Linked DNA regions of Alligator mississippiensis. The protein of the gene in region 1 interacts with the protein of each later gene in a biochemical or structural test. Links are inferred from orthologs where the notes say so. Each region holds a gene or a part of one and is shown on either strand. Other genes may lie near its edges. The genes, in order: MAGI3, ADRB2 and ADRB1.

Evidence for each region.
Region 2: the proteins of MAGI3 (region 1) and ADRB2 form a complex in vitro, tested with the Homo sapiens proteins (2 studies listed by IntAct, with this or other methods). The link is inferred for Alligator mississippiensis from reciprocal best matches to the Homo sapiens genes MAGI3 and ADRB2.
Region 3: the proteins of MAGI3 (region 1) and ADRB1 interact in a test that uses a peptide from one of them, tested with the Homo sapiens proteins (2 studies listed by IntAct, with this or other methods). The link is inferred for Alligator mississippiensis from reciprocal best matches to the Homo sapiens genes MAGI3 and ADRB1.

Annotation. Positions count from the first base shown.
Region 1 is NC_081837.1:45,112,206-45,122,800, forward strand, and holds the start of MAGI3 (membrane-associated guanylate kinase, WW and PDZ domain-containing protein 3), read left to right. Parts: upstream 1-6,631; 5' UTR 6,632-6,728; coding exon 6,729-7,071; intron 7,072-10,595.
Region 2 is NC_081832.1:60,954,643-60,965,336, reverse strand, and holds the start of ADRB2 (beta-2 adrenergic receptor), read left to right. Parts: upstream 1-6,277; 5' UTR 6,278-6,309; coding exon 6,310-7,453; intron 7,454-10,694. UniProt on the Homo sapiens protein: Beta-adrenergic receptors mediate the catecholamine-induced activation of adenylate cyclase through the action of G proteins. The beta-2-adrenergic receptor binds epinephrine with an approximately 30-fold greater affinity than it does norepinephrine.
Region 3 is NC_081829.1:92,300,929-92,311,145, reverse strand, and holds ADRB1 (beta-1 adrenergic receptor), read left to right. Parts: upstream 1-6,159; 5' UTR 6,160-6,275; coding exon 6,276-7,571; 3' UTR 7,572-9,310; downstream 9,311-10,217. UniProt on the Homo sapiens protein: Beta-adrenergic receptors mediate the catecholamine-induced activation of adenylate cyclase through the action of G proteins. This receptor binds epinephrine and norepinephrine with approximately equal affinity.

The DNA.
Region 1 (10,595 bases):
TGCTCAGCAGGAAGTTTTGAATATTTACACTAACAATTATCCACTTTTTAATGTCTCCCATAGCAACACTTTGCCTTTTACAGCTCCTTTCATCTGAATTTCTTGCAGCACTTCACATGTGCAAGGTTAAACTCTCTCTCTTGCGCTGTACGTCACAAACACTCCAAAGGGTGCATGTAGAAAGACTTGGGCACAGAGAGGGGGGTGACTTTGCCGGGGTCCCACAGCAAGCTGTTGATGAACCGGGAGAAGAATTCTAGTCCAGCGTTTTTTCTGCTCTCTCTCAAGGGTTTGGGTAGCTTATAAATAAAAGTACAAACACCAGCAACAAGTTTTGATTATGAGTTAATATTTGCACAGTGCCCAACAGTGCACTGTATTTTTTATAATGGTGGAGGGAGAAGAGCACAGTGCCTTGAGGCAGGAGGATGCTTTTCTTGCTTTTGCTGCTTGGCATCTGTGTACTATGGTGATGTGCTTATTAGAAACACACGGACTGACTTGGTAGCTTTCGTGTCTACAAGGTATGGGCTGATGCTGATACAGTCTTCTGGCTTTGATGCATTTTCCATTCCTGCGTGACGATTCCAGGCACTGAAGCTTAGTCAGCCCAAGTTGACGTGGATCTTTATTATTTATTTTCTAAGCTGTCTCAGAACTGATGAAATCCCCTGGTCTGGCAGCACAGGCTAGAAGGTAAGCTAATTTACGTGGCGTTTAGAAGTTTGGCTTCCAATGGCACGAACCTGGGGTCGCACACTGCTCCGACCAACAGTCCCCAAAATATACGTTCGCAGAGGAGTGGTCGTAGCAATAGCTCGCAGCCTCCCTCCTCCTGCAATGACTTGCTGGGGCAGCCCTAGAGGCACGCAGCGCAGCGCAGAGCAGCGCAGCGCAGCCTCATGTGCGAGATGCAGTTCCTCAGTGGGTGGGAACCGAGAGCACGTCCCCTCTGCCACTTCCTTGGTTAGGCTCTGTGGTCCCGGTACCTTTTATAGTATTACTTTTGTTAAGCAGCACCATAGAGCGTGTCCTCAGCATCACCCCTAGCTCAGCCTGGTGGACTATTGTGGCTCAGCCAGTCCCCATACGCACAGCGCTACCCAGTGTGGTGCAGCCTTCTCTCATCTCATGCTCAGTATGCATTTCCTTTGGTTGGTGTGTGTGTTTTTTTTCTTTTTTCTTCTATTTGGCTTTGAGTCCCCTCAAGTGTCCAGAGTCAATGCATTGCAGGACACGGGAACATGCCAGTCTGGAGCTTTCCAATGGTTTCCCTTTCTGGAGGTCCGTTCTCCTTTCTCTCCTAGCCTGGAAACCTGTTAGTCCATCATAGCTGAAGGTAAAGCTACACCCTTTGCTGTCTGGATTATTTCAGAGTAAGGGAACAGAGGCTCAGTGAGGTGAAGCTTGCAGTTTCTTCATGGTTTTTTCCATCAGGGAGTGAGATTTGGGCTCCCAGCAGAAGCTGCCGGGGACCCATTTTCTAAACACACTGCCATGAATCCCTATAGATCATGTCAACTTTGGAAATAAAAGACCAGGGGGATTCTCCAGAGGCCAGGGGCATTGGTGCAAAGATCCCTTTCCTGAGCCTTGCTATGTGACTCACTCTGGACAGCTTCTGCAGAAGTCAGACTTCCTCCCTGTTACTGCTGCCACTCTCCTTGGCACCGGTTGTGGGACGGAGTGGGGTATGTGAAGGTACACATTTCTTGCGGAACCCCACTCAATGTGGACCCGTACTTGAAAGATGCTTGGTAACCTTAACTAACGTCCTGGGAGCTGAAGGTGGCAGCATCTTGCAAGACTGGGCCTTTTGAGGCAAGATTTGGGTCAAAGGAGACTGCGTGGTCCTGTCTTACCATCGTGTTCTGTTCCAGCTGAAGCTGATGGAAGTCTTGCTGTTGCCTTTTGTGGGAACAAAACTGACCTTCTGTATCCTCACTCAGTGACAGGAGCTGCCGCGCTAATTCTTCTCGGAAACCTACCGGGGGTCTCTCTGGTTGTGTTCTGCGTTAGGAAAATATTGTTGCAACAGTCCCAACATATCACCTCCGATCTCCCTTCTCCTTTTCTCTCTGAGAGAACATCTTCACCAGAGTACTAGATATTCACTCTGTGACATATTTTCTGCATTTACCTGAGTTGTACCAAAAGCAAACTTTGTTTCCCTGCCTACCAGAGAGTTGCACTGACTTCAGCCCATTTCTTCCTTTAGTTATGATCTCAGTAAAAGTCTTGACATCTTATTTTTGTGCGATTTGTAGGGTGCTGGATGTGGATAGCTAAAGAAAGATGGCAGCAGGCAGACTATAAGGCGTGCTGGACTGGAGACATTTCTCAACTTTGATGGAGCTTCAGCTCTCTGAGATTTCACGTGTGAGCGCACAGAAAATACATAATTCTTCATGCAGCGATAGATTAAGGTAAGTAATTACAGAAAATGTGTTATTCCCAGTTACCTGTAGGTGAGCTCAAATACTTACTATGTTTGTGAGTTGAAATGAGAGGCAGAGAAGGCATGAATGGTGAAAATTCTTGCTTCAGCATGGCACAAATCAGAATTAAAATTTCCAGCTGGTTCTCTTAAACAGGCTTTAAAGTTTTCATTAGCGCTCTGGAAATGAACTCAGGAAAGCTTTGGCAGCATGCATGAAACTTAAGCTTTGGGGACTTTAACAAGATAGGTTTGTTGAGGACATTGATCTTGGAGAAGCTTTTGGAACTGAAATGTTGACAGCTGTCTTCATGGATACTTGTGAATAAAATAAATCTTTTGCTTAATTCATCATCTGAGATCACTGAATTATTTCCGACTCCTTTGAGGTATAAGTGTCTGTTACGGGCTTATGTGGAAAATCTCTTTGTAGATTACAGAAACTGGCGCAGATTAGACTAGACTAATATTTCCAGAATTTATCCAGTGACTAGATCTCAAAGTCATGCCCTTGTTTTTGAAAATGTTAGGCTGTTTGGTTTTATATATCTCAGTTTAGAGCAAGGAATACAGCTAGTCAGTTATACATGGTCTTTATAATTATACAAATGAGGAAGCTAGTAAAGAGAATGAAAGTCAGAAGTGAGACTATTAACATCTTCATGGATTAGACTCAGCATGGAAGCTATTTAATCATCTGAGAATGGAGTTGGTGTTGCCAGATCTCATAATTTGTGTTGTTCTTAAAACCCTGAGGTCATGTAAATGTATCAGTGTGTCAGCTTTAAGTGGTTTTTTTTTTTTACATTTTGCTTTTCAAAGTGAGTTTCTGGCTCTCCTGGTTTTGGAGAAAAGCTTGAAAATGTGCACCGAGATCAATGCAAATCAAGATGGGGAAATAATGCAAATCTTTTCTAGCTCATCATTTTAATCCACTCCAGGACTTTCCCAGGCTTGATTTTTATGGGGTTTTTTTACCATTTGAAGTTGGTTGCAGTCACCAGTAGCTTACATGCCCCTAAATCAAAAGGGAAGCAGGGCACCAAGGAAAAGGAACCCTCTAGCATTGCTAAATGGGGAGGTTCATGTGAGACGGGGCGCTCACAACTGCAAGGTAACGCACACTGGAATGAATAATTTAACAGCCACTCTAATTTAGAGGAAAATGATCTAGGTATCACTGTGGATGGCCCAATTAAAGCCTCTCCGCAATATGCAGCAGTGATCAAAAAGGTAAACAAAGCATTAGGATGTACAAGGAAAAACTACGAAAAACATTGCTGCTGCTGTTGGGTGGATCTGCTGCGCTCTGCCTGGCAGAGAGGGGGGAAGCCTGGAGAGCAAAGGGTCCAGTTCTGCTTGTGCCAGCTGTGAGACCAGTGGCCAGGTGATGGCAGCCCCCCTCCTGGCTGCCCTGCCTGGAAGATGGACTGCAGGGTTACAGGGAGAGGCCGCCCTGCAAACGAGCCTGGCCGGGAGCACGTGCTCCAGAGAGAAGCCAGACTCCCTTGCAGGAGGCTGTGGAGAGAATGGCACCTTGGGAGGGAAGAGGGACAAACCGTGTCCTTCACTGAGCAGGGGATGAAGGGTTTCAGACTAGGAGGGCCCAGGGACCCATACGCTTACTTTGTGCAATAGCAACATGAACCAGACTCTACCCCTCTTCCCCCAGGGCTGGGTGGGAGGTCAACGAAATGCCAGGGTTTGTGTGAGGGGAGCGGGCGGGGTGGATGGCAGGGTCCTGCCCTGGGGCAGCCCATGCTGGACCTCACCCTGCAACGCAACACCCGTGTCTGGAAGGCAGTGTTCAGGGCTGGCCACTCCTCTGACAACAGAAACAGAATGGCACCAGGGGTTGGGGGCTAAAACCAGAGACTCGGATCAAAGCCTTCCACAGTGAGGTGTGGGAGGCAGGGACAAAACGGAGAGATACGTAAATTAGTGAATGGTGCTGATTAGAGAAAGTAAATTAAACTCTCCTATTTCCTTTCCCCGAGAAGAAAAAAATGATGCAACTGAAGGATTTGATAAAAATTGAACTGTTTTATTGAACCATTGTAAAATTCAATATATAATTAACCTGTGCAAGGCATTGGCAAAAGGTGTGAAGACCTTCTAGGTTCCCTAGAGGACTGGACATGCATCCTTCTGGGCGACCAGAGCTATACTGAGGCAGGCTAGCACGCTAGCTGCAGCCGCCCAGCACTTTTGAATGTCACGCTGCATCCATTAAGGTGCCACCGTGTAGACTTAAGAGTATGACCTCAGTTTTTAAAATTTTGGCCAATGAGAAGATCCAGTTACATTTAATAGGATAAGAGAGATTTTTACGAGGGCTATAAACACTTTTTTGTTTCAAGGGTATAGACCAACTACCACCCTCGACTTGGAAAGAAATTTCCTCTAATGAACTGCCCATAATGTCTGTGCGTTACGGTTTGCTGTGCCTTCCTTTGAAGCATTTGGCACAAGCCAAGGCCAGAGAGAGGCTACTGGGATGGCTGGACTATTGATTTAGTCTGGTGTGGCAAGTCTACGTGAAATGCTAAATTTTGGATTCAAATGGATTCGACAATGTCCCTTTTACTGTCCAGGATGCCTAACACCACAAAGCCTCCAGCCTTCTCACTCGCATTCTGCAAGCGTAAAAGAAAATTTAGATCATTTTGAGTTATTTTCACGTCTGTTGGCAGGTAGCCAAGTACACTTCAAATGGCACCGCATGTAATGAGTCCGATCCATCCCTGGCAGAGCTCCATTAACACGAACGGAGCCACAATCATATTTTCACCAATATGATCAGCTGGAGGCCAGTTAATGTCTCCCTAGCCACTCGTGTAACTTTTAAATGATATCCTCCCTTCTGCCGGCTGCCCTTCCAAAATCCCTTTGTCCCGAGATTCAAATGCCACTAATTTTTTTGTTAAAGTCCCTATTTTTGGCAGTAATTACCATATGACCTATAGGAGATACGGGCCGGTGGAGATAAAGACGTGCAGAAGCCACAGGAAACCCACAGCAAAGCGTCGTATCCGTTTGTTAGAGGTGAAAGTTTGCGGTGATTTCTGAACGAGAAAATTAGCTGCCTTTTACGGTTCTGCACAGATGTTAATTATGGGGGAAAGTTCAGCGTGCAAAGCTGGTATTTCTAGTCTCTGTTATTGTGGAGATGGCCAAGAGTATCAGGAAACAAATAAATGATTGTGACGTAGAGCAAGGGCCAGAGGTGGGCCGTTTCCTTGTGTGCGAAGGAACACGCGTACGTATCTCAGCTATGTAAGGTCACACCTCGCACCCTCCCCGCTTCCGCTTTGATTGCCTTGTGTACAGAAGAGCTTCAGAAACGATTGTGCTGGATTCCTTGAGCTGCGGGCTGAACGGGCACGGTCCTGTGGCCAGCCTCGAGGCAAGGCGGTCGCCTTCCCCTTCCCAGAGCAAGCCGGCCCGCCTCGCAGGGTTGAGGCAGGGACGGCCCTCGGCTTCGCAGCAAGAAATGCAGTTTCTGGGGGACCGCGCGCGAGGGCCTGTATCGGACCGGTCGGGCGCGCTGAAGCAGAAGGCTCTCTAGGGATTATTTTTCAAGTTGACATCTAGGGTTCGGCGTGAGCCTTGCCAACATCAGTAGGTGTTCGGGAGTTGTCCTGACTCCCCCCAGCCTCGAGACTGGAGGGCGGGAGCCCGAGGGCCGCCCCAGCCTCCCGGCGGGCCGCGCGTACCTGTCAGCACCCGTTCAGGTGGCATTTCCCCACGCGGAGGGAAAGGGTGCCACTGCCGCGTGGCCCCGCACGAGGTCAAGGGCAGCAGGCTGCAGCTCCTGCTTTGCAGCGGGCGGGCGGGCGGGCCGGGCCGGGCCGCACGGCGGCGAGGACGGGCTGGCTCTGAGCAGGGTTGTTGCGCGCTCTGCTCTCCCGTGCGGTCTCCAGCGATTGGGGCCCGGGACGTCGGGAGGCAGAGGCCGTGCCCCGTGCCCCGGGGAAGAGCGACCCCAGCCCGTGGTTCGTGTTAAACCCACCTGCCCCTTGATTGATTGATTGATAGATTGATCAATCTCCCCCCGCGCTGCGCTGCGCCGTGTCCCACAAGCGGGCGGGCAGACACACGTGCGCGGCGCGGCGCGGCGGGGCGGGGCGGGGCGGGGGGAGGCGTGACGTCAGGGGGCGGGGCGTGCCGGGGGCGGGGCGGGGCGGGGCCGGGCAGTCGGTTGCTGGGCGGTTGGTGTGTGGGGTCGGGTCGCGTCGCGTCGCGTCGGGCTGGGCCGGGCCGGGCCGGCTCGGGAGCCCCATGCGGCGGCATGTCCAAGACGCTGCGCCGGCGGCGGCACTGGCTGAGCAAGGTGCAGGAGTGCGTGGTGTCCTGGGCGCCGCCGCCCGACCCCGGCTCCGGCTCCGGCCCCGGCCCCGAGCTGCTGCGCGGCGGCGCCGAGCGCGGAGAGTTCCCCTACCTGGGCGCCCGCCTGGCCGAGCCCGGCCCCGGCCCCGGCCCCGGCCCCGCGCTGCTCTCCGGCAAGCCGCCCAGCCCCGGGGACGTGCTGCTGGAGGTGAACGGCACCCCGGTGAGCGGCCTCACGCACCGCGACACGCTGGCCGTCATCCGCCACTTCAGGGAGCCCGTGCGCCTCAAGACCGTGCGCCCAGGTGAGCCCCCCCGCGCCCCGCCGCCGCCGCCCTCACCACCGGCCAGCGGCTGGAGCGGCCCTGCCTGCGTCCTCGAGACTATGGGGAAACTGAGGCTGTCGCAGCGAGCGGCGCCCGCATTGCTGCTGGCACTTGGAGGGCCAAGTTTGCTCTCCCAGGCGCGGGGCTGGGGACAGCCCTTGCCTCCGCCTGGGGGGTCACTCGCTCTGGTTGGCACGGGAGCTTGTGGCCGAGCAAACCCGTCCTGGCGGGGGGCCCTCCTGCGAAACTCGGCTTCCGCCGCTGCGTCCGACCTGCAGCTCCCCACGCTGCGAAGTTGGCACGAGTAACTTGGCTTTGACGTCCCGCTCCCGCGGCTCTGCTGCGCCCCCTCTCCAGAGCGCTGCGGGGGCCGGTGGCCGGCGCCTGGCACGCGAGGCGCGCGCGGGAAACTTGTGCCGTGCGAGGCGGTGGCGCTGGGCGGGCGGGGAGCGGAGATGGGCCCCTCCAGGGTGGCTGTCAGCTTTATGTGGACCCACAGATTGTCCGCACGGGCCTTGTAAAATGTGTGGCAGGAGTTGAGGCCGGGGGGAGGCTTGTGGCAATAGAGATAAGAGTATTTATTCCGAATAGGTTCTTTCCTTCTAAACTCGGTGGAGGAAAGATGGTGAGGGTAAAAGCAGCACAGAGAGAACCAGCATGTTTTGGTTTTTTTTCCAGGCATCCTGCCATTTTTGGATGAAGTAGGACTTGCCCTTTGCAGAGCGTTAGTCCTGACAGACCTGTTAAAAATGCTTGCCCTGTGGTCGCCTGCTACAGAAACGAGTCTGATGGAAAGCTTTGGTCTTGCAGCGAAGGGTTGCCCTCCCACGGTTGTTTTATAGCTTCGGCATTAAGATTTCGTTCTTTTGTTCTGCTTAGGATATTTCCTGTCCGCTCTGTCTTCAGATCGTTTGGTGTTGTGCTGCGTCCTGATGCGAGCATTGTAGCTCATCTAAACATCCGTGTGTCACGGTGAATAATTTCTAGTTGCAACCGCTGAAATGCGGGGTGTGCATGTGATGTGTGTAAGGTGGCTTGGCACTTCCAAGCGAATGTTTCCTGCAGCCGCAAGAGGCATCGGAAAGGATTGTAGTCCCTTGACTGAAGGCAGAGGTGGGTATTTCTAAAGGCAAGGCTCTCTGGGTTTTGGCCCCAGTCGCATCTCTTAGTGGATTAACATCTATATAATCTTAAAATCCAGTAACGCTACAAACAGGTCTCTCAAAGAAGCTCAAAAAGATAAGAAATGAAGCGTGTGTGCTGGCTGTGTGTAAAACATTGGGACTGACTAGGAATGAAATGGCAGATGTCCCCAGGGCAAGCAGGAGATTCTGCACTGTGCTGATTAATTTTGAACCACTTTGATAAATATGGATTCTGAATTTAAGAAGGGATATGCTACTTTTCCTTTTTATCTGAGATTTACATGGCAAATGGGATTTTTTTCAGTTTTTTAATTAGGCTATTGTCAGATAAACTAAGCACTTTACCTTGCATCTATAGTGAGCAGGACTACACAGCAGTTTTAATACCAGAGCTTAACCTTTGGGGCATTGTGATGGCGGGGTAGTGATTATTCCCGGGCTATAATATGTGCATACAGGTGTAAAGGTACATAACATATGGCTGTACAAATCGGGGTGAAACTGTCAAAGAGAATCGCTTGCAGTAAAGGTAGATTTAAAGGAACTTGCCGATGAATCTCTCTCTCTCTCTTTCCTGCTCACTTTTCCCATCAAGTGGGTTTTTGTTTTTCTGGTGTGTGAGACATGAAAATGGTTAGGGACTCTGATTTCTGTGGAAGTTAATCGCGCTCTATTTGATAGCTCAGTGTCACAGAGTTCTGAAATACAATTTCTGAAAGTTATCTCCGTAGTGATGTTCGCTGCTTATTTGAAGCGGGTGAAATCACAGTGGTCAGATGATATCCTGGCTTTGTCCGTGGTCAGGACTGATGTAAATGATGCAACGTTCTTGGAATTCCTCATCACTGTTTCAAAGCAATTCCTTTATTTCCCAAAGAAAACTCAGCTTCTGTTCAGAGAATGGGATTAATTCAAGTGTACTATAATTAGCCAGCACTATCAAATCATTCCAGTAAAGTCCTCTTTACCAGCATGCATCTCAAATGTCAAGTTCATGCTAAATAGTGTTACCTGCAATCACACAGACTAATGATTCACAATTTTCAATCTGAAGCTAATTACAGCTTCTCCAGTTCTGCACAGCGCGGGTGTGAACTTGACAAAGTTTAAACAAGTATTAATAATCGCGAATTTTCTCTTCGATTATTTTTCGGTGAATCCAGAGCTGTAGTGTGGCAGTAGACGGTCATAGCAATACTGACATCTTCCATCTGTGGGACTGCAGCAGTTAGTCATGGATGCTAAGCACGCTGCTTACACAGCCACCACATGTAAACGCTGCCCTGGGTCAGATGTGTTTTCTTCGTTCGGAGGTTAGCTGTATCTCTGCTTTACAGTTTTGGAGCAAATCAAACTTGGAACTAAGTTTTTTTATCCTAAAACATGTTGCAAAGTTAAATGTGCTGTGGATTAAAGAGAATTTTGGCAACTTGGTGTTGGTTTGCTTTTTATAAGGCAGCAGTTTAAAGCATTCCCCTCCCCCTGCGAAATATTGCCATAGTTGCATTCAGTGCCAGTGCTTCAGCAAGAGCTGCCTCCAAGTTGCCAAGGCATTCATTCTCTTTGAGTGCCTTGTGACTTGGAAATCGCCTTCCTTTCCATCCCTGGTGAAGTGAAAGGTCCACGTTTGCTGAGCTTCAGAACACCGCACAATGCGTTGGTTTGCACTACTGTGCGGGGATGCTTGAGTCCTGGGCCGCGGGACGTGCAGCGATCTTGCAGTGGCGCTGGGATGAGGAAGGCTGCTTTGGTTTTGGTGAGGTTGGCTCTGCTTCGCTGCTGCTGCATTTTGTTTTTATATGGACTGTGATTTTAATGATCCATCACGGCATCTTGTCCTTTGGAAGGCATTTTGTTTGTGGTCAAATAAAGGAAAAACAGGCACAAAATTGATTTAAATAACACAACAGAGCAATAGGGGAAAGTTACTTAATACTCCATTTTCCTTAAAATGCAAAATGGGCCTTTACAAATCAAAGTACACGGAACTGGAGAGCGTCTGTTGTAGGCCTTGCCATGTACTTGCACTCAGGTGCTGTCGGAGCAGGAGGGGAAGGGTGTTCCAAAGTTCAGTTGTATGTGCTGAGCGTGTCCTGACCTTGGCCTCCTGACATTGAGTCACCTGTCAGCATGTTTCTTAATTGTTTAGTGTCTGTACAGCCTCTGTGTTGAATAGTTGCCTCCGTCTTAGTCAATACTGTAGTGCAGTTGCGGTCTCACGTGGGTGTTTCAGTGGCCTTTAGCAGCAGATCAGTGGGCTGGACTTGCTTTGCACCAGTGATGAAACATGACTCTTCATTAAGGAAAACAGCATCTTTATTTGATAGCAATGAAATCAGCATCTGCGATGCTTGTAGC
Region 2 (10,694 bases), on another chromosome or scaffold:
ATGGGGCCAATCTCTGCCCTTATACAGAACCCAAACACTGTTTGAGTGGGAGTATGTGGGTGCACACTTGAGCTCAGGATGAGTAGGCTCAATCCTGTAAAGCCTGAACATGGAAACAAAGATTACTCCGGTAAGGAGAGATTGCAGAGGCCTTAGATTGCACCTGAGGCCTCTGAAGGTTGTACTTTGATGAGTCCAGTGGTACAGGCCTAATCCTTCTGAAATAAATTGAAGCTTGTCCACTGACTTCTCTTAAGCCAGAATTCCACCCCAGGTATAGATTTCATAGATTTCATAGACATTAGGGGCTAAAAGGGACCTTGTGAGATCATTGAGTCCAGCCCCCCTGCCAGAGGCAGGAAGTCTGCAGGAATCAGATGATCCCAGCAAGATCCAAATGCCTTTTGAATGAGTCCAGAGTAGGTGCCTGCACCACCTCTGGGGGAGCCTGCTCCAGACCTTGGACCCTCAGACTATAAAGAAGTTTTTCCGTATATCGAGTCTGAATCGGCCTTCCAGAAGTTTGTGGCTGTTAGACCTAGTTATCCCTTGGGAGCCCTGGTGAACAACTGTTCTCCCAGATTCTGATGCACCTCCTTTATATACTTATAGACAGCCACCAAGTCCCCCTTGAGCCTTCTCTTTACCAGGCTGAAGAGTCCCATGTCCCTCAGCCTCTTCTTGTAAGGCTTGCTCTCTTGGCCTTTGATCATATGGGTGGCTCTCCTCTGAACTCTCTCAAGCTTATCCACATCCCTCCTGAACTCGGGGGCCCAAAACTGGATGCAGTACTTCAGCTGTGGCCTCACTAAAGCCAAGTAAAGTGAGAGGATGACATCCCTGGTTTTGCTCAAGATGCATTGGTAGATGTATGCCAGTTTGGTTTGCTCTGCTGGCCATGACATTGCATTGGGGGTCATGCTTATCTTGTGGTCAATCAAGACCCCCAAGTCCCTTTTGGTCATGGTGCTAGTGAGCGTACCATCACCAAGCCTATAAATATGATGCTATTTTTTTCTCCCAGGGTGGAGTACCCTGCATTTCTCTACATTGAATGCCATCAGGTTTTGGTCTGCCTACTTTGCAGGTGTGTCCAGGTCAGCCTGGATCCCCAGCCTGTTCTCTAGCATGACCGCCTTCCCCAATAGTGTCATCCACAAACTTTGCCAGTCCACATCTGATGCCCAAATCCAGGTTGTTAATGAAGATATTGAAGAGTACTAAGAGCACTGAGCTCTGGGGGATTCCACTGGTGACCTTGTGCCACACATTGATTTATTCCCATCAACTAGTACTCTTTGGGTCCTACCCCAGAGCCAGTTCCCCAGCCATTGGACCATGAGATGGTCGAGGCCAAAGTTCCCCAGCTTGGTCGTGAGAACATCATGGGAGACCGAGCCAAAGGCCTTCTTGAAGTCCAGATAAATGACATCAACCTCATCTCCCTTGTCTAGGCAATGCGTCACCTGGTCATAGAAGGAGATGAGGTTGATCAGGCAAGACCTTCCAGTATTAAACCATGTTGGCTGGCATTCAGTAGGTTGCCTTCCATTAGCCTGGTGCAGATGGATCCCTTGTACTTTTCCCTTTGTCCCTGAATTTGCTATAGAAATGTTGAATTCGAAACTTTGGTGAAAGGTAAAGCAGGAGAGATGTTGCTCTGATTTATGCTCCTGGCACTGTTGGCATAAATAAGGTCATTTGCACTGGCCCAGAATCTAGTGTAGGAAACTCAAATCTCTGCTGGGAGTCTCTGCCTGGTTTCAGCGGTCCTCCCTAATGGACAAGAAAATCCAGCCTTTTATTTCTTAACATTGTAATTAACTCTTTCAAAGATTGGGCTGGGGATAACCAACAACATCTGTGTTTTCATATTAGCAAAGCTGATTATGAGCAAGTTAATAGCTTGGATGAGCTCTGGATAATTTGTAAAATGGACTATCTTTGTACAAGAACTCAAAGGGCTGTCATTATAAAGATGTAAATCCCACAAATCAAATAGAGCACTAATAACTTACTGTTGTACCTCATTCCCATCAGGGACATAGCTCTGTGTGTTAGCAGGTCCCTGGGCTTCGGGAAAATCTTCCTTTTTCCCCACTTCTCCATCTTACTTTATTAACCATACGAGTGGTTCATAGTGAATACAAATGAGCAAAGACAGATTACATCAAGGTTTTAGATGAGCTGGTCATTTTCTCCACCCTGACTAATAGACAGCCCTGAAGTACACTGTGGAGGTTCATGGTGGGTCAGTATCTGGAAGGTGTGTGAGTTTTTGTGCATGCATGACACATAGCCAGAGCTGATGTTGCATTGTTCAACTGGCAAACTCAGCACGGGCAAGCCCTGCTCCTCCCATTCCCCCACCCCAGTTGGTGTTTTCCAGGTCTCCAGTCTCTTTTCAAGATGTAATACTTCTTGCAAGTGATACCATATATATCTAGATTTTAATATAGGGGGTGCTTCAGGATGTGAAGTCATCTGCTTTCTGAACTCTCAGAGTTCTGTCTAAACACCACAATCAGCAGCGACACAGTGAAAATTAAAGGAATTCCCTTCTTCAGTCACAAAAAATATATATCTTAATTCCATTTTTGATCAGCTCTCAAGAAAGAATGAACAGGTAAACGAGGTGCCATAACTTGTCCCTTCTTACTGTGCTTTCTGCTTTCCTTCCCCATGTTGCCTGCAGGTCCTTATCTCTTCTCAAACATTGCCTAGTCAACAATCCCTCTTTCCCAATCATTTCCTTTGGTGTTTCCACTTCAAGGTGTGTGGCTTTTGGGCATGGGAGGGGTGGATATATGTGCAAAGGAGAGATGGAATGTGCAAGCCATTAAAGTGTCTCAAAGCAAGTAAATGGAGCTGTGTTAAGCAATTATGGGCCAGATCCTTCACTGACCTAGATTAGCACAACTCAGTTTAAGTCAGTGTACCTATGCCGATTTACCCTTGCTAGGAACAGCTGTAACTATAGATACAGGTTTATTAGAGCACAAACGCTTTACCCAACCTCCAGTTAATTGAAACTCATGGTTTATCAAAGGTCATTTCTGTTCCCTAGTGCAACCTGCAGCCTGCTTTGCTTAGTCAATCCTCATTCTTTCTGAAGGCTTTTGGTATTTGCAGGGAAAACAAGGGCTGTGTATATCATCTATTTTATGTTTTTAAATTTGTTTATTTTCATAAAGTTAAGGATTGTGAAGGCTGGGCAGACAGTGGTATTCAGGAACAGGGCAAGAAATGTATGCAGAAATGAGGCTTCTCCTGCTTCAGGGGAAATAAACTGGCCCAACATGGAAAATACCTAGTGATTGACATTGCTTTTAACCTTATTTCCTGTTTCAAAAGTTCAGTGAAGTTCAGCTGAACAAAACCTGTACCTGATGCTGCAAATACTTGCAGTCCTTCATACATCCCCCACCCTTTCTTAAGCCACAAAACTTCCTTCAACATACACAGTTGTGCTCTATAAATAAAATCTTCGGGCCTATTACATACACCAGGAGTAGCACTGACATGAAATGGGACACCTAGTGGATTCAAAGCAGCAAGTTCTGAGATGCTTGCTCTGATCACTACCCCTCAGAGAAAGTGAGAAGAACAAGCAGAGCAGAGTAACTGTTGGCAAGTTTACTTTGCTAATGGGAACATCTGGGATATTTACTGCTTTTGCATTTAATTTCCTATTAGGAATAGAAAAACGAGGCACACTCTTGAAAACCACTGAATCTTTACTGTCCTGAGAACTTTAGAGTGTGATTTAACATTAATAATCCTTCAGAAATCTGAAGAACAATCAGAAGCCCTCTGCCTCCGGGCCATTTTAGTCATAACAATACTTGCATTTCCCTGTTACCTTTCATCTAAAAAGCTGAACAAACCCTGTACCTGATGCTGCAAATACTTGCAGTCCTTCATATGCTAGTTCTGTGGATGACATCATGGGGATTGTTTGTGAGGAAGGGACTGCTTTTGTGCCTAAGAGCATGAATATACCAACAGCATCACCACCACGCAGCCATGGATAATGGATACACAGCATGGCTGTGGACAGAAATGAAATTTTGGGCTGTGACACCATTGTGAGTCCTTTCTGTGCCCTGGGATCTTTAATGACCATGCAAATCACAGCCCTGAGACTTGGAAGACAAGCCCAAAAGACCTCACGCCTTGCAGGAAATTTAATTTAGTTGTGAAAAATGCAGGGCTGAGACAGTATGGTTTTATTCTAAAAAAACCCAGCAAAAATGAAACATAAAGCAGCAGCATTCTTTTCAGTCAGGTTACAAGAAGCTTGGCACCATCTTTATTCCCTAGTTAGCCGATTCTTTGCTTCTGGGGAAAATACTTTTAAAAGTTAAATGAACAGATTAACTATGTCTGGCTTCAGCATGGTGAAGCAGAGTGCACTGGAGTTATATGATCACAAATATTCCTAATAGCATTGGTGTCCTGAATACTCAGGAAATCACTGAGTACATTGTGTCAGGGCCATATTTTACTGTGGCTAGGTCGCTGCTGTAATTGTGAACAGCTGTGTGTGGACAACAATGCTTTCAAGCTGATTAGAGAAAAGGCAACTGACCCTATGTACACACTCCGAGTTATGTAAATTAAAAGTTTAACTTCTCATTTAAGGTCTTTTGAAAATCTAATGTACAGGCAGATAAGGCAGGTACAACCTGTATTACAAATTCTGGTCTGAGGAAAAAGACCTAAAAATAGATGCTATTAGGTAGCAAAAGTCCATAAAAATGCCTTCTTCTCCTTGACTTAAAAAAAAACCTAGAACTCTTGGTTCCAAAATGATATCTTTTATGAGACCAACTGGAAAATGGCAAGAAAATTGTCTTTTTTCTTGCTATTTTCCAGTTGGTCTAATAAAAGGTATCATTTTGGAACCAAGAGTTCTAGTTTTTTGTATGTCTTTTTGTCTCAGACCAACACAGCTACCAAGTACACCCTTCTTCTCCTTGATGCTTTTCAAGAGTCAAAAGATCCCCTTTATGCTCACCAGAAATCCAGAAATTGTACATCACAGCACAAGCTAAGGAAGGATAAGGTCCTTCTAGTACCATTAGTGGCCTCAGGATGAGCTGAGTTGCCCTACAGTAAATTTAAAAGGCTACATGGTTCCCAAAGTATCTGAAGACTCTGTCAGAGCACTCGCCCTTACCCAAACAAAGTGGCTGAGATACTGGCCTCACCTTTCTTGATTCCTCCATACACTTCTGCCAGCGTTCAGTCTAAGCCACCTGCTTGTTTGGCAAATCTGCTGGGGGGGGGCACTGCAGATCCCATCTTGGTCTTACCAGGCCCTGGGAGCTGCAGCCTCCTTGTACACTGGATCCTTGCACATGCTTCTAAAGCAGGAATTGCACAATACTGAAGGGACCCATGTGAGCTCTCCCTCACTTTGAGAGGGGTCACACTGAAATCAGCAGGACTCTCGGAGAAGTGTCCTGATTTCTGGGGGGAGCGGGGGGACGGGTAGGACAGGTTCTGCACCTGTCTTCTTGTGGGGCTTCTGATTATTTGCCCAGTCCCTAAGCTAGGCATTTCATTTAGCCTCCACTTTCCTCCTGAGGAAGGAAGTTTACACTCACTTTCTGATCCGACTCCAGGGATCATGTGCTAAATTCAGACCTGCAGTTAAAAGGGAGGGTGTGGCCGGCTAAAGGCTGCAACTAGAGGAACTAGATCTACCCGCGCCACTCGGTTGGCCCGAGGAGGGAGCTGCGCCGCGCTTCGCTGCACCTGGCGACTGGGTCGAGCCGTCAGACACGGTCCGAGGGCGAGGGAGGGAAGGAGCAGCTGCCGCCTCCCCCCGGCTGAGGGGTCCCGGGCAGATCGAGAGCCCCGGGCTGAGTCGAGCGCTCGCCTCCGCCCGAGCCCGCAGCGGGGAAGTGATCGCGCCCATCCCGCTCCACGCAGCAGCGCCGGATCTGAGACCCGGCCGGCAGCAGCGATCCGCCCCGCTCCGCCCAACCCAGGCCAGCCGGGGGCAGCTGCCGCGCCGTACCGGGAGCTCTGCTCGGAGCGGGTCCCCGCGCGGGACAGCGGGCGCCGCGCTGCGGTCCCCGCTCAGAACGCTCGAGTCGGCTTGCGTGTCCCGCCGGCCTCCCATTGGCTGCGCCCTTTGTGATGTCACGCCCGGCTGTTCTATAAGCTGCCTGGCACATAACGGACTCGGGACACTTGGCTGCTGCCCGGACGGGGCGGGCGGGCGGGCGGCAGGGCTGGGGTTGGGGCTGGGGCTGGAGCTGGCCTGCCCTGGCCGGAGCCCGGCGGCAGCGAGGAGCCATGGCGTCGGCGCGGAACGCCAGCGGGCTGGACAGCGCGAACAGCACCACGCTGTCGGGGGACGTGTGGATGGTGGGCATGGGCGTGCTCATGTCGCTCATCGTGCTGGCCATCGTCTTCGGCAACGTGCTGGTGATCACGGCCATCGCGCGCTTCCAGCGCCTGCAGACGGTCACCAACTGCTTCATCACGTCGCTGGCTTGCGCCGACCTGGTGATGGGGCTGGCCGTGGTGCCCTTCGGCGCCAGCCACATCATGCTGCAGATGTGGCAGTTCGGCAACTTCTGGTGCGAGTTCTGGACGTCGCTGGACGTGCTGTGCGTGACGGCCAGCATCGAGACCTTGTGCGTCATCGCCGTGGACCGCTACTTCGCCATCACCTCGCCCTTCAAGTACCAGAGCCTGCTGACCAAGGGCAAGGCCCGCGTAGTCATCCTCGTGGTGTGGCTGGTGTCAGCGCTCACCTCCTTCCTGCCCATCCACATGCACTGGTATCAGGCGGAAAGCCGGGAGGCCCTGGACTGCTACGAGAAGGCCACGTGCTGCTACTTCTTCACCAACCAGGCCTACGCCATCGCCTCCTCCATCATCTCCTTCTACCTGCCCTTGGTGGTCATGGTCTTCGTCTACGCCCGGGTCTTCCAGGTGGCCAAGCAGCAGCTGAAGAAGATCGACAGGTTCCACGTCCAGGGCTGCCAGCAGCCCGAGCACAGCGGCCGGCCGGGCCGGCGCGCCTCCAAGTTCTGCCTCAAGGAGCACAAAGCCCTGAAGACCCTGGGCATCATCATGGGCACCTTCACGCTGTGCTGGCTGCCCTTCTTCATCGTCAACATCGTGCACGTCATCCAGGACAACATCATCCCCAATTACCTGTACACCCTCCTCAACTGGCTGGGCTATGTCAATTCCGCTTTCAACCCGCTCATCTACTGCCGCAGCCCGGACTTCAGGTTCGCCTTCCAGGAGCTGCTGTGCCTGCGCCGCTCCGCCCTCAAGCTCTACGCCAATGGATACTCCAACAGCAACGGCAGGAGCGACTTCCACGAGGAGGACAACGGCTACCACTCGGGGCCGGATAAGCCTTGCGAGCTGCTGTGCGAGGGAGGTGCCGTCGCGGCCACAGGAGGCTTGTTGCACTGTCAAGGTACTGTGCCCAATGGTCGCCCCGAGCCCCCGGGGGTCAACCCTAGCACCCAGGTGTCCGTGTTGTAGGGCTCGGCCTTCCTTAGGGGCGAAAAGGCACCCGGCGACGTGGCGGCCAGAGGACGGCCGGGAGGTGCCTGCCCGGGGTGTGCGGATGCACAAACGCTGTAGCAAGGACCTATTTATAGGCGCGCCGGGGGGTTATTTTAAGCCTGTTGTAGCAGGCTCATCCCAGGAGGAACGGGTGACTTTTGTGGTGTCCTTGTCACTGTGTTGATCTACCTCAGAGCTCTGGTTAGAACCATCATCTTCATCTTCATCTTCACCGTGGCCTGAACCGCGGAGCTGCCTCCTCTCTGGGGCTGGGCATCGGGTCGGAGGCCTGCCCGTCCCTTCCCCTCCCCCTCCCCCTCCCCAGCGCTGCGGATGCTCTTAGCCGCGGACTAAATACAAAGTTGCGCTGACAACTTTTTTTAAGCGACGCTTTTCTGGTTCACTTCCTCCCCACGCCCGCGCCCGGTCTCACGAAGGGCAGATCAGCTGGGGGAGACTGAGGGGAGGGCTGGAGAAGTGCTCCACGCCTCCCTCGTGGGCTCCGGCAGCCCGGGGGCGGTGCGCGGGGCAGGGGCAGCGCGGAGAAGGCGTCTTTCCGGCCGCCCATCGCCTGTCCGAGGGCGCGGGGGTCCGAAGGCTTCCGACAGCCACGTCCGTGGCCCCCCCCGGCTGCACTAAACACTTGGCGGGGTGTTTTGTTTTTCTCTTCCCCTTGCTCTCCCTGTTGCCCCGGGCTCGGGCAGCCCGGGGGGCTGGGCTGGGCCATGCGGCGGGGGCTGGCAGGACATGATGTACAGACGTGCTGGGCGACAGTGCATCGCGATCAGCACTGCCAGGGCGGCCCTCGGGTCTTCCCTCTGCCCTCCTGCCAGCTCTTGAAGTGCTGCATCTCGGCTCCCGGCCCGGCGGGGGGACGCGCGAGGTCCGGGCTCGGCGGGGCTGCGCGGGGCTGTCAGAGGGAAGCTGATGCTCAGACGCACGCGGACAGGTGCGGGGGGGGGGCGGGGGGAGAGCAGCGACACGGGCCCTTCTCAGATCGGCAGTGGCAGGAAGCGATCAACGACCCCTCGTGCTCTGAAGGGCTGCAAAGAGCGGGGAGTGCAGGGTGCTGCCCAGCTTCGGGGGGAGCAGGCAGGGCAGCGACCCTCGGCCCTCGCTGTGCAGGGTGTCAGCCTGCCCCCTGGCTCCTGGGCCGTGCGGGCTGGGCCGTTCCCGTGTTGCTGCTCTGCTGTTTCACTAGTGCCCCCAGCCTGGGCCAGGGAACTTCCCCCGCTGTCAGCTTGGCTTGAGTAGGCAGCCCCTGCTCACTGCCGGCATCCTGCTGAGGGCAGGGGGCTCTGAGTCTGTTGCCCAGACCCGAGGGGCTCCTAGGAATCCTACCATGGGGGGGAAATCTCAAGCAGGAATGAACAAAATACCAGGGATGCGGCTGGCAGTCTGCTCAATGCTGCTGCCAAGGGGCTGGAAGGACAAAGCTCTCTGCACGGGAGCATCCAGTGCTGCGATTCTCAGGGGTATTGCCAGTGGATTGAAGAGGGACCACTTGCTGCAAAGTCAGACAAGCAGCTGCTGCAGAGCATGGGTTATCTTCTCCCTTTGTTCTTATTGCACTGCCTTACTTCTGGGACACAGGGTAGTTTCTCAGTAGCTTCCTGGGCACTCAGCAGCTGCTAGGGCTAAGATCATCCTAGGCTTTACCATTTCCAGTGAGGACAGCTACAGAGACTGTCACTGGAAGAGCTGGCCTGCAGCAAGCTGTGTGCACCTCCATCAGAAATCTGCAGGTGACTCCTATTCAGACTAGGGCTGTGGTTTGATCTGACAGCTGCAAGCCAGATGCAATGGATGGATATCCCAGGTAGTGTCCATGTGGCCCACACATTAATTGGCTGGGACCATAATGGGGGAAACCTCCCCTGGCCACACTGATTCAATCTTTGGTGAATTTCCCTTGTGTACATTGCTCTGCCAAAACATGCCCTCCTTTTTCACCTCTCTCCAAGCATCTTGTTCAACAGCTGGGAAGAACAAGTAGCTCTGTTGCCTTTTTTTCAATTGTCTGCTTAATCTTGTCAACTTTGTGCATGGTCAATTTGGGAATTAAATTGTGCAGTGAGCAAAGCAGTTACTGAGGTAATAGAAAAGCCCTATTGGAGAACAAAATGCCTGGGGAACCTTTTTTGGCAACTTTTCCTGCACTTGGAGAGTGAGGAAAAGGGAAGAGCAGTTGTAACCAAGGGAAAGACTTGCAGGATCTTTGGTGCTGCAGGAGATTGGAGACGTGGGCATAAGATACTGACATCCTGTCTTCTGTAGGTTTGCCATTGTCTTTATGGGACAAGGATATAAGAGAGAAAGTAGGCACCATGTGACACAAGGGAGTATGAGTTTCTATGGACAGATCACTGCAGTCCCAGCACTTGGGCGGCTGCATTGCTCTGCACAATATGTCTGCAGTATGCCTACCATATGCATGCTGAAAGCAGTGTCACTGGCTCATATCTTTTTGGCCACTGAAAATATTGACTTTGGCTCCTCTAAAGCATGTGTGTGCATGGAAAGCTAAGGAGCTCTCGTGTGTATTAGTCAAGTCTCCTTTAAAAATGTAGCAAGTGGAATATAAAATGATGGCAACAAAATTCATACAAAAGATGCCTGGCATTTCTTTAAAATGCATGGCACATTCCAATATGGAGAAACATGAAAATAACCAGGCATCACCCATTTTTGCTCTTAGAGGCCAGTTTGCCATTGTCCTGCACTTTGGGTAGTTATCTGCACCTGTATAAAGGAGGGTCAGTACTACCATCCCAATCTAATAATGCTTTACACCCCCTTGCAATTACTCTACACTGATAAAAGCGATGGTACAAAGTGCATGGCAGTAGTGAATGAATTGCAGAATCAAATCTGAACTATATAGGCTCATGTAGACATAAAGGTTTGTCTTAGCTGTTGGCTTTCAGGGGAGGACATGTTGAAATTTCCATTTCCTCCTCTCTACAGCAATGTGGTCTGAGCACTTAGGAAGAGTGGTTGAGAAAAAGAAATAGATTGAGGTTCATCCTTCTGTTCTACTGCAAAAAGAATGAATGCATGACTACCTGTCCTGAATCAGGACTGTAGGACCAAGCCCAAAGTAGATGCAGAAAAAGGGAATATGTCCTGAGAAAGCATTTTCCTCATCC
Region 3 (10,217 bases), on another chromosome or scaffold:
AGAAAAAAGAGACAAATAAGGCAAAGAGGAGAGAGAGCGAGAGAGAAAGGAGAGCAGAGAACCAGATACACACACACGCACGCAGAGAACCATGTGCACAAACACAGAGAACCAGAACACACCCATAGCAGACACATGCACACACACATCCAGAACCAGACACGTGTGTGCACACACAGATGCACAGGACCAGACAGAGGCAGATGCACGGGCACGCGGAGCTGGGCTCCTGGGCCACTGGTGTGGAGCTAATGCCGGAGCCCAGAGCAGATGTTTGCAGCCTCCCAAATGCAGCCGGCCCAGGCTCTGGGTAGCTGCTGCCAATCACAGCAGGGCTTGCAGCCACCCAGCCACTTGCTGGGAGCATCCTGGGCTTTGTGGCTGGCAGCAGCTGCCTAGAGCCCAGGCTGGTGGTGGCATGCCGAGCAAAATGGCCTTGTGTGCTGCACTCAGCACACGTGCCGGGGGTTGCTGACCCCTGGTCTGAGCAAAGAGAATTCTACTGCTTTCTTGGCAATCTAATAGATTTGACCTTCAGGAAACTGTTTCTGATAATCATACTGAACTTTCCTTTTCATCACATTATCTCTCATTAGGTCTCTTGGTATAATTCGTCTATTCTAAATAATTCCTTTCCCACCCACTCCTTGGTATTTTTTTTTTATGCTTCACATATTTATACATTAGGGAATTACAAGGTCATTGCTTAGTTAAAATAGTCTCCTTGTCTCTTCTCATATATTAATCCCAAGTTCCCTTTAATAGTTGATATTGATCTTCTCTGAACCTCATCTAATATATCATTATCTTTTCAATAGGGAAGTGCACAGACCTAAACATATTTCTCGTGATTTTGTGCTCACTTGCAGCAGAGAAGCCAGGAGCAAATCTATACAAACCAATAGAGATACACTGTTGGAAACCTGGTGTAACTGGCTGCGTCTACACGAGACACTAACTGTGCAGTAGCATCATGTGGCAGGAAGCATGATGCACAGTCATCATCACAAAAAAGTCATTCCTTGGTGTGACTGCACAGTAACTCTGGTTACTACACAGTCGTTTAGTACTTGTTTATATACTGCAACTGTACATCCAGCATCTTGTGTAGACACAGCCACTGAGAAGACTTGAATCAGGTCCATCATTACCAAGTCTTGTGATTTCCTTGGGGGTAGAGCTGTCCAGCAGATAATAATTTCATTCTGTGACAACTTTAAAGGATTCACAATTAAACCTTTAGAATATGTCCACAAAAGTAATTTTGCTGAAGAATCTTTTTTTTTCTATAAAAACCTGAGCTATCTTTTTAAGTTTGGTCCGTCTGTCTGTCTCTTTCTCTCTCCTTTTTTTTTCTCTTTGTCTCTCACTCTCTTTTTCTTTCTCTGCCGCCATTCAGAAATGTCAGGACAGCCCTAAAAAAAACTTCCCCAGCAAAATCTTTGTTCGGCTTCCACAAAACCATGTGTTTAGACAAAAGTTCATTATGTCAAAATGTTCTGACCAGCTGTACCCACAAGTACTGAAATTTTGTTCATGGCTAGAGAAAGACTGGCAGGTGGGAATTTCAGCCCTCCTTGAAAGGAGGACACTGTTATTCTTAAGGGCTGTTATGGGACTCTGGGAGAGCCATTGGCTCCGACAGTTCTGGATCCTGCATGATCTGGAGAACTGGTTTGGATAAGCAGGGCTACAAATTCAGGAACAGAGAAGGGACAACAGAGGTCTGGCTAGATGAAAAGGCAATCTGTCTCTCTTCCCACTGAAAAGACACTTAGGTAGCTGTGCATACTGACATAGGTACTAGCTGAGGGTATTAACTTTAGAAGCTAGACCTACCAGACCATCCTCACAGGCTGTTTAGCAGGGGAAAGAACGAATCAATTAATGTGCTGAGGTCTGAGGGAGAGCTGGAAACCCGGCACCAACGGGCAGCCAGAGAGAGCTCCTGCAGCCAGCTGGGTTGGAAACACATTACTTAATACACTGGGAAATCTGACAACAACACCCAGCAAGTCACTCAAAGTCCCACAACCTAGTCACTCCAAGCCTTTTCTTAGGTAAATCCACTAAAAGCCACAGATTGTCAGGACTAATCCTGCCATCACTGAGCTAAAACTTTTACTGGTTTTAATAGGTTCAGGATCAAGCCAATAAAGAGGATCTGCTCCTGCCCACCTCCATGGTGTGTATCATGCAAACTCACGCAGTGCGAACTTGAATCTAATATTCAGCATCTTTTTGCACTCCCTTAGCATTGCTTCTCTCTGTGCCGATGCAAATACCACACCCGTACTTCAGCCCCTTCTTCTCCCTCAGTTCTGCCTTCCTATTTGTTTTACTTGTTGAGCAGTCAGCATTATGATACACACCTGTACACAACAAAGCCCTGATGCTGCAAGCCGCTGTCTGTGTGGTAGTCATGTGCCTGCTCAAAGCCCCCTTGAAGTCTGTGGGACTCTGTATAGAGCAGCGCAAAGGATCTGGGTCTAAAACCCTACACAGAAGCCCTTGCAGTCCCTGACACATTCCAGCTCTGAAGTTTGTTTCAACTCAGCCTCTCCAGTGCAGTACGATTTGGAATTCCTTCTGGGTCCATCTGTTATCCTCTGTGGGTGTGTTGGATAACCAATCTATTCTAATTAGTATTGAAGCTTCTTGTTAAAAAAAAACAATGACTTCCAGGAAAAAATAGATTACTGCTTCAATAAAAAATGTGACCTGGAGCACAGGCAGAAACAATCCATTTCAGACTTTGGAACTCACTCCTCTTGACCTGACATCCTTAAATAATTTGCACACAAAGAGGTGCTAGCAAAACCACATTCAAATGCACAAAAATCAGGAAACTTAGAGTTAAAGGTGATCTGCAGAGGTGTCGTTTGGAAGATGAGTTAACCCTACAGTTATCAGCTGCATGCACACAGGGATGCTCAGCAGATAAATTCTTCAGCTAACCTTTGGTTCTTCCTTTTTAGACAACCCCAAAGTCAGGCTGGTTCCAGCTCTGACATGACGTTGCAGAATTACGCCTGTTGTGACAGGAAAATTATTCTAGGCCTTCTGATTAATTATGTAGCCTTGGGCAATTCACTTAACTTCTCTGGCCCTTAAACTTCAAAGCTTCTTCAAAGACAGAGAGACAATCAAGGGGTTACAATCCCATGTTAATTTTATTAGGTAAAGACCTTAATTCAGTAAAAATACCCTGGGGATGACAGATGGATGGAAATGCAGGAAAAGTGTCCAAAGGCATGATTTGTACCCCTCACAACTGCCTGTGTGATCTTGGGCAAGTCACTAAAGGTTGGATTTTCTAAACTATCCACGATCTTCAGATGTCTCCATTTTTTGAGAAGATCCAGCCAGCAGGACTTCAGGAAGCCCCTAAAATGATATACCTGATATGTTGAATACCTCTCTGTCCTGGCTTGTGCGGGCAACCAAGGCTTAGCTGTAGGATAAATTGTCTAATAACAAAATCTTTTGCAAGTCACATTTATAGTAGTTCACTGTAGAAGTCCACTCTTATCTAGCTCTGTGTTGGTTCCTTCTGGTAGAGACTCAGGACTGACAGAAAGGATGGATTCCTGTTCCTGCGGGGATCACAGCTGAGGATTGACTGACAACCTCCTGACAAATATCGTCAGACCCTTTCCTTAGTTGGTTCAGCCACAATCCACACCTAGCAGTGTTCACATAGTTCTTCAAGGTGAGGAGCATCCACCTCTCCCTGTCCAAGAGAGTCACTTCATGCATTGGAGGGCTGAGCTCTCTAGGCTCAGACTTCTTCTTCTCATGTCTCTACATCACATTTAACCATTTTTTTACACATGCTTGTGCTTGTTTATTGTACTTTGCAAGCTCTTTCATTGCACATGTGCCTTCAAGCAGTGGGCATTACAGCAGGCATTGCCTAGTCTGAAGCTCTGTGACAGTTACAGGTGGTCGAACCAATGTTATAGCCTCACTTCTTCATTAGTTCCTGGGAACATGCGACTCTGGTACGTAGGCAGTTGAGACATCGCCACCTTTGCCACTGTTCATCAGCCCCCGATGGTAAGGACTTAGCTGCTGGAGTGTACATTTTTTCATTGTCAGCTATTTTCTTCAGCCTCTCGTTCCACATCTGTAGTTGTGTCTTACTGAGTGTGGCATCGAGAGTGTGGGCGCTGATGAGAAAGCTCCTGCATGACTTCAGACATTTGTGTGCTGTGGGATGGTCATACAGTGGGTGTCTCGCATCTTCTGTTTGCCTCGATCGTTCTATCCCACTGGCTCAGACTGGAAAAGATCAAGTAATGAAGCAAAGTTCACTAGGGAATAGTTTAAGCAGCAGGTCCAAACTGATGGAGCCTGTAATCAGGGTTAAACAAACAGTATGTAAATAAACACATAATTCACTCCGGGGTTGCAACCTTGTATACCGAGTCTGAACCTGGCAGGGAATGGTAAGGTCAAACCGGAACAATGACACAGCCTTTGCAGAATAAATATATGTGGGAAAAAAGGATTCCCTCTTATTGCTCCCAGCTAGTATGAGATGGGGTATTGATGTAAGCCCCAGGCATGGATGTAATCCTGTGATACTAAAAAGTAAAGGGGAGAGAACTCATTTTCATTTCTCTTTGCCAGTACAAAGGCAATTTAAAGTAAGAGTAAATAAGCCTTACATCCATCTAAGGCCACACCTGATAACAGAGCAGCGTGAAGGGCTGCACATGTAAATAAGAGTCAAGCCCATGTGTTTTAAGCCGTTTCAGTGGATGTAGCTGTGCAAAGGGCTGCAATCCTTGTACAGTCTCTTATGCAGCTATGCTGTCACCGGAGCAACACATTTACTGCACACGGAAACTTTTTATGGTTATTAACAAATGATAACGTTGCACCTCAAACGTCTGTAGCTATCGATGGGGTTTGGCCGGGGCGGGTAAAAGTTCTGAGCTGCACATTACGGCTGGGATAACAGGCACAGAAAGATTTGTCCCAAGCAAAGCCAGCAACAGAAGCCAAGTCCTCTGACTCCCAGCCTTAGGAATGACACAGTGGCTGAATCTGGAACCCCCGGGGAAGCCAGAACAAACAGGACTTGTGATGGGGAGATACGCAGGGCTTGGGAAGCACGGATCCATCCCCCACCGGGCAGCGTACACTTGCACAGTTGTCAATATTGCCTACAGGCCATGGCAACTGTTGCTGGCTTCCAGTGCTAAGGTTTTAAATCCAGCACATGCAGCGAGATCCCCTGCCCCATCCCCGCGGGCTGCGGTGAGAGCGGCGGCGCCTGCTGCCTCTTGGTCACTTCTCCCTGCCGAGCAGCAGGGCTGGGGCAGGCCTGAAGCCCCCTTGATACATCTGTCTCCGGCGGGAGAACTTCTCCCTCCCTTCTCCTCCTTGCGTCTCGGCAAGGAAACAAATGCAACTCTTCGAGGAAGACGAAAGGCGCTCTGTTTTTAGCACAGAATGTTACTTTCTGGCCCAATAAGGCTGGCCACGTCACAGGCGTCTCCATCCTCAAGGTACCCAGCAGGCAGACAAGGCTCTTCGGGTAAAACCAGTTACCTTCCATTAGACCAACTCAGTAGTTGGAACAACAATTTCTTAGCAAGCTTTCGGGTTTAAAAACCCTTTGTCCGGCTGAGGAAGTGTGCGCTCTTCCAGCAGGCATTAAACACCAGAATGGGCTTTCCGGGCTCGGAAATTAAACGCTAAAACGGGCTTTACCTGCTCACGTCCGCACAGCCTAAGACCTACAGAGGAGAAGAGCGCGAACCCGGCGCAGCGTTTCGGGGCAGTGATGCCAGCAGCTGCCCTGGGCCCTCGGCAAGCGAGCGGGGAGCCCCCAGGACGCCGGCCCTCCGCTCCCTCACCCCCAAGAAGGGCGTTTGTGGCCGGAAGCATTGCAATTAAGAACTTTTTTATTTTAGTTTATTTTATTTTATTTGCACAAATCTGGCGGGTCTCAGACAAGACACCGCCCGCGCCCCGCGCCCCGCGCAATCCCCCCCCCCCACGACGGGTGCGGTGGCAGGGGGCCGCCCACGTGCGGGCGCCGCGGGGGTGTGTCCGCGCCGCGCGCCCATTGGCCGCCGAGCAGTGACGCGCGGCGCGGGGGTGTCGCGGCGCGGGAGCCGCGGGAGCGCACAACCATGCTGCAGCCCGGCCGCGGCGGCCGCTCCGCTCCGGCTCCGGCTCCGGCTCCGGCTGCGGCTGCTGCAGGGCGGGCGCCCCGGCTGGTCTTCATGCCCCCGGCGCGGCTGCCCTGAGCGGACAGCATGGGCGATGGCTGGCTGCCCCCGGACTGCCAGCCGCACAACAGGTCCGGCTCGCCGCCGCCCGCGCCCCCCGGCAGCGTCTCCCCGCCGCCGTCCTCGCCCGGCGGCCGGCACGAGCTGCTGTCGCAGCAGTGGACGGCGGGCATGGGCCTGCTGATGGTGCTGGTGGTGCTGCTGATCGTGGCGGGCAACGTGCTGGTGATCGCGGCCATCCGGCGCACGCAGCGGCTGCAGACGCTGACCAACCTGTTCATCACCTCGCTGGCCTGCGCCGACCTGGTGATGGGCTTGCTGGTGGTGCCCTTCGGGGCCACGCAGGTGGTGCAGGGCCGCTGGGTCTGGGGCTCCTTCCTGTGCGAGTGCTGGACCTCGCTGGACGTGCTGTGCGTGACGGCCAGCATCGAGACCCTGTGCGTCATCGCCATCGACCGCTACCTGGCCATCACCTGGCCCTTCCGCTACCAGAGCCTCATGACCAAGGGTCGGGCCAAGGGCATCATCTGCACCGTCTGGGGCATCTCCGCTCTGGTCTCCTTCCTGCCCATCATGATGCACTGGTGGCGGGATGAGGATCCCCAGGCTCTGGATTGCTACCAGGACCCCGGCTGCTGCGACTTCGTCACCAACAGGGCCTACGCCATCGCCTCCTCCATCATCTCCTTCTACATCCCTCTGCTCATCATGATCTTTGTCTACATCAGGGTGTACAGAGAGGCCAAGGAGCAGATCAAGAAGATCGACCGATGCGAGGGTAGGTTCCACAACAACCACCACCACCAGCCTCCTGCCCAGGGCCACGCTCACCACCAGCCCATTCTGGGCAACGGCAGGGCCAGCAAGAGGAAGAGCTCCCGGATCATGGCCATGAGGGAGCAGAAAGCCCTCAAGACCTTGGGTATCATCATGGGAATCTTCACTCTGTGCTGGCTTCCTTTCTTCCTGGTCAACGTGGTCAACGTCTTCAACAGGGACCTGGTGCCAGACCAGCTCTTTGTCTTCTTCAACTGGCTGGGATATGCCAACTCTGCTTTCAACCCCATCATCTACTGTCGCAGCCCTGACTTCCGCAAGGCTTTCAAGAGGCTGCTTTGCTGCCCCAGGAAAGCCGACAGGAGGCTGCACGCCAGCGGTGAGGAGCTCTCCCGGTTCCCAGGGAGTTTCATCAATACTTTGGGCACCCCCGAGCGCAGCCTAGGAGGGATGTGGTCCGACTGCAATGGGGGTACGCAGGGAGGCAGCGACTCCAGCCTGGAGGAGAGGAATAGCAAAACCTCCTATTCGGAATCCAAGGTATAAGGACGGTGGGAGGTGGCACTGGGGGACACCCTGGACACTGAGCACGAAGAAAGCCAGCCAGGGAATAAGTGAGAGGAAAAAAATATCAGGAGTCTGGTTAAGCAAACAAACACCAAACAAAACCAATCTCTGTCTCACTGGGGAGAAAATCTGTGTTTACTTAAGACTAAAAGCAGGTGAACTTGTATGCAACATACCTCATCTGATGTTAGAGGAAGCCGCTGACCACTGAACAAAGGAAATTGAAAGCTGTCTCAAGCTCATTTTTTTTAAATTTTCTAACAGGGAGTTAGGTGGCAACAGGCATTTTGAAAGGGAATAAGAAAATATCCTTTACTCAGTTAAGCTGCTCTAAGAGCTGCACTTGCAGTAGAGCCCGATCCTGAAGTATTGGGAGTTTAGCCACTGACTTCACTGTAGCCAGGATCACGCTGTATTTAACCTTGCTTTCAAGCTGAGGACTATAAACTCTCCCTGCCCCTACTCTTGGTGGCTGCAGTTCTTGTTTCACACACAGGTAAAAAAGCAGTCTGATTTTAACAAGTGCTGCCTGCACACAGCCCTGTTGAAGTTAGTGGGAACTGCAGGTGATCAGCACTTTTTGCAAATCAGGCTTAACAGTCCTTTATAAAAGTGTGTCTGTCATCTGGCAAGTTTTATTTTAAACTTCAGGTAGCTGCGTTCCCCTGTTTTTTAAAGTAAAGATGAAGGGAAAAAAATTAACTAATGAAGAATATTGATATACTTGTATTTTGAACAGAGCTTTTCTGATTTTTATCTTCTGCATCAGCAACCGGTTGACTTCTTATGCTTATCTTCTCTTGCCAGACAATACCAATCAGGCTGGGAAACTTTCTACCTCAAACTGTGCATATTGTACAGGGGAATAAAAAGACATGTTTATATTAAACAGCTTATTTATGTATTGATATTATTATTTTCTAAAAAGAGGCAGTGAGCCTTCTGCAATTTGTTCATTGTAATTGAAGATGAACAGTAAAAAAATAAATAAATCCTGGCAACAAAAAAAATTTACTGCACATAAAAAAAATGGCAACAGAGCCATTTTTGCACAGTGTTAAGAATCGTAAAATTAATTGAAGATGTTCCTTGCACAAAAAAAAATTAAAAATAAAACGGGGGTTCAAATATCATCAAACCTGAAAAAAATTCTTTCTGCTCTTGTCTAATATGTTACATTTCTATTGAGAGAGTGACTTTTTATATTATTTTATCAAGGTACTGTAAATGCATCCGTATTATAAATTAAAATATCTTAAGGGTCTTTTATTATTATTTTAATATTTTATGTCCAAGTGCCCACGTGAATCTGCTGTTATTTTAGCACTTGCGTGTCATTTCCATTTTCCTCCTGTGTGTGTTTTATAAGGTATTTATACTCTGGTGCAATTTACTACTGTGTAAGTAATTGGTCTATGTGCAATAAATAACATTGCAGCACAAACAAGCATATATGTACAGCGTGTCTCTATAGGTTCTGAAACAGTACCCAGCTATAATGGAAAGAACAGAGTTTTGTTTTTCTCAAAATATGGATCAAATTACCAATACTCTCCCACCTAATGGCTTTCCCTGACAAAATATTGTTTAAAAAAAAGTGTTCTAGACCAAATAAGGTTGTGTTTTCTGTTGCGTTAAGGGCTGCCGACTTCCCTCAAAAATTAATGGCCAAAGACAAGGTGTTTCCAGCCTGATAATAAACATAGTCATTTTCTTTAGCCTGTTGGCTCTCCTGATCTTTTTGTTGTATTAGTAGACCAGGAGTCAGGGGATTTATTATTGAAAAATAGAATAAAATGGTTTTGTATTGGATTTGAAAACTGAAAACTGTTGCTAATAGATTATGCAGTGGCTCTCTCATGGTGAAATCAATGATACTCTTAAAATAACTTCACTGGATGCAGACAGAGCTTGAAGTCCATATTCAGCGAAGCCAGCTCTTTCCCACCGAAATCATTGGGAATCTACGCTGATTTCAGTAAAAGGGAGATTATGCCCTGTATCGGGAGATGTAATAAGAAGTTTGTGATCCCTTGAAAAAATATGCCAGGCTTTCATTCTACATTACTGAAAAAAGTGTCTTCAGAAAATAGCACTACATATTTGATCCCTTCATTTCTTGATATCAATTAAAGCCAAAGGCAGTTGTCATTGACTTTAATGGGTGCAAGATCAGGCCCTGTAAAGTGTTTTTCACACTGCGTATCAGTTCCGCACAAAACCCCAGTCACATATCTATAGATTAAAGAACTAATTATATAGCGAGAAAAGCAATATGGCACTCGGCAGCAATATTTTCCCTAGCTATAGATTCCTTTAGGGCTGGATCCTGTTACCCTCACACACTGTGCAGTGCCCTGCTGACACAGGTACCCCCGTGGACTCCAAACAAACCATGATGAAGTGCCGAGAGGGCATGGGTGGCAGACTCTAATCCTTAATGCAAATCCTGAATGTAGAACTCCGTGACAATACTGTCTCCCATTATTGTCATGAAGGTATGTTTTATTATGATAGATTCAGAGAATTTTTCATGACTGCAACTTGTCATGGCATATAAAGCACCAAAAAGCCAGACGGCTGGGTATCGTAAAACACCTCCTTGATGTCATGCACAGAATAAAA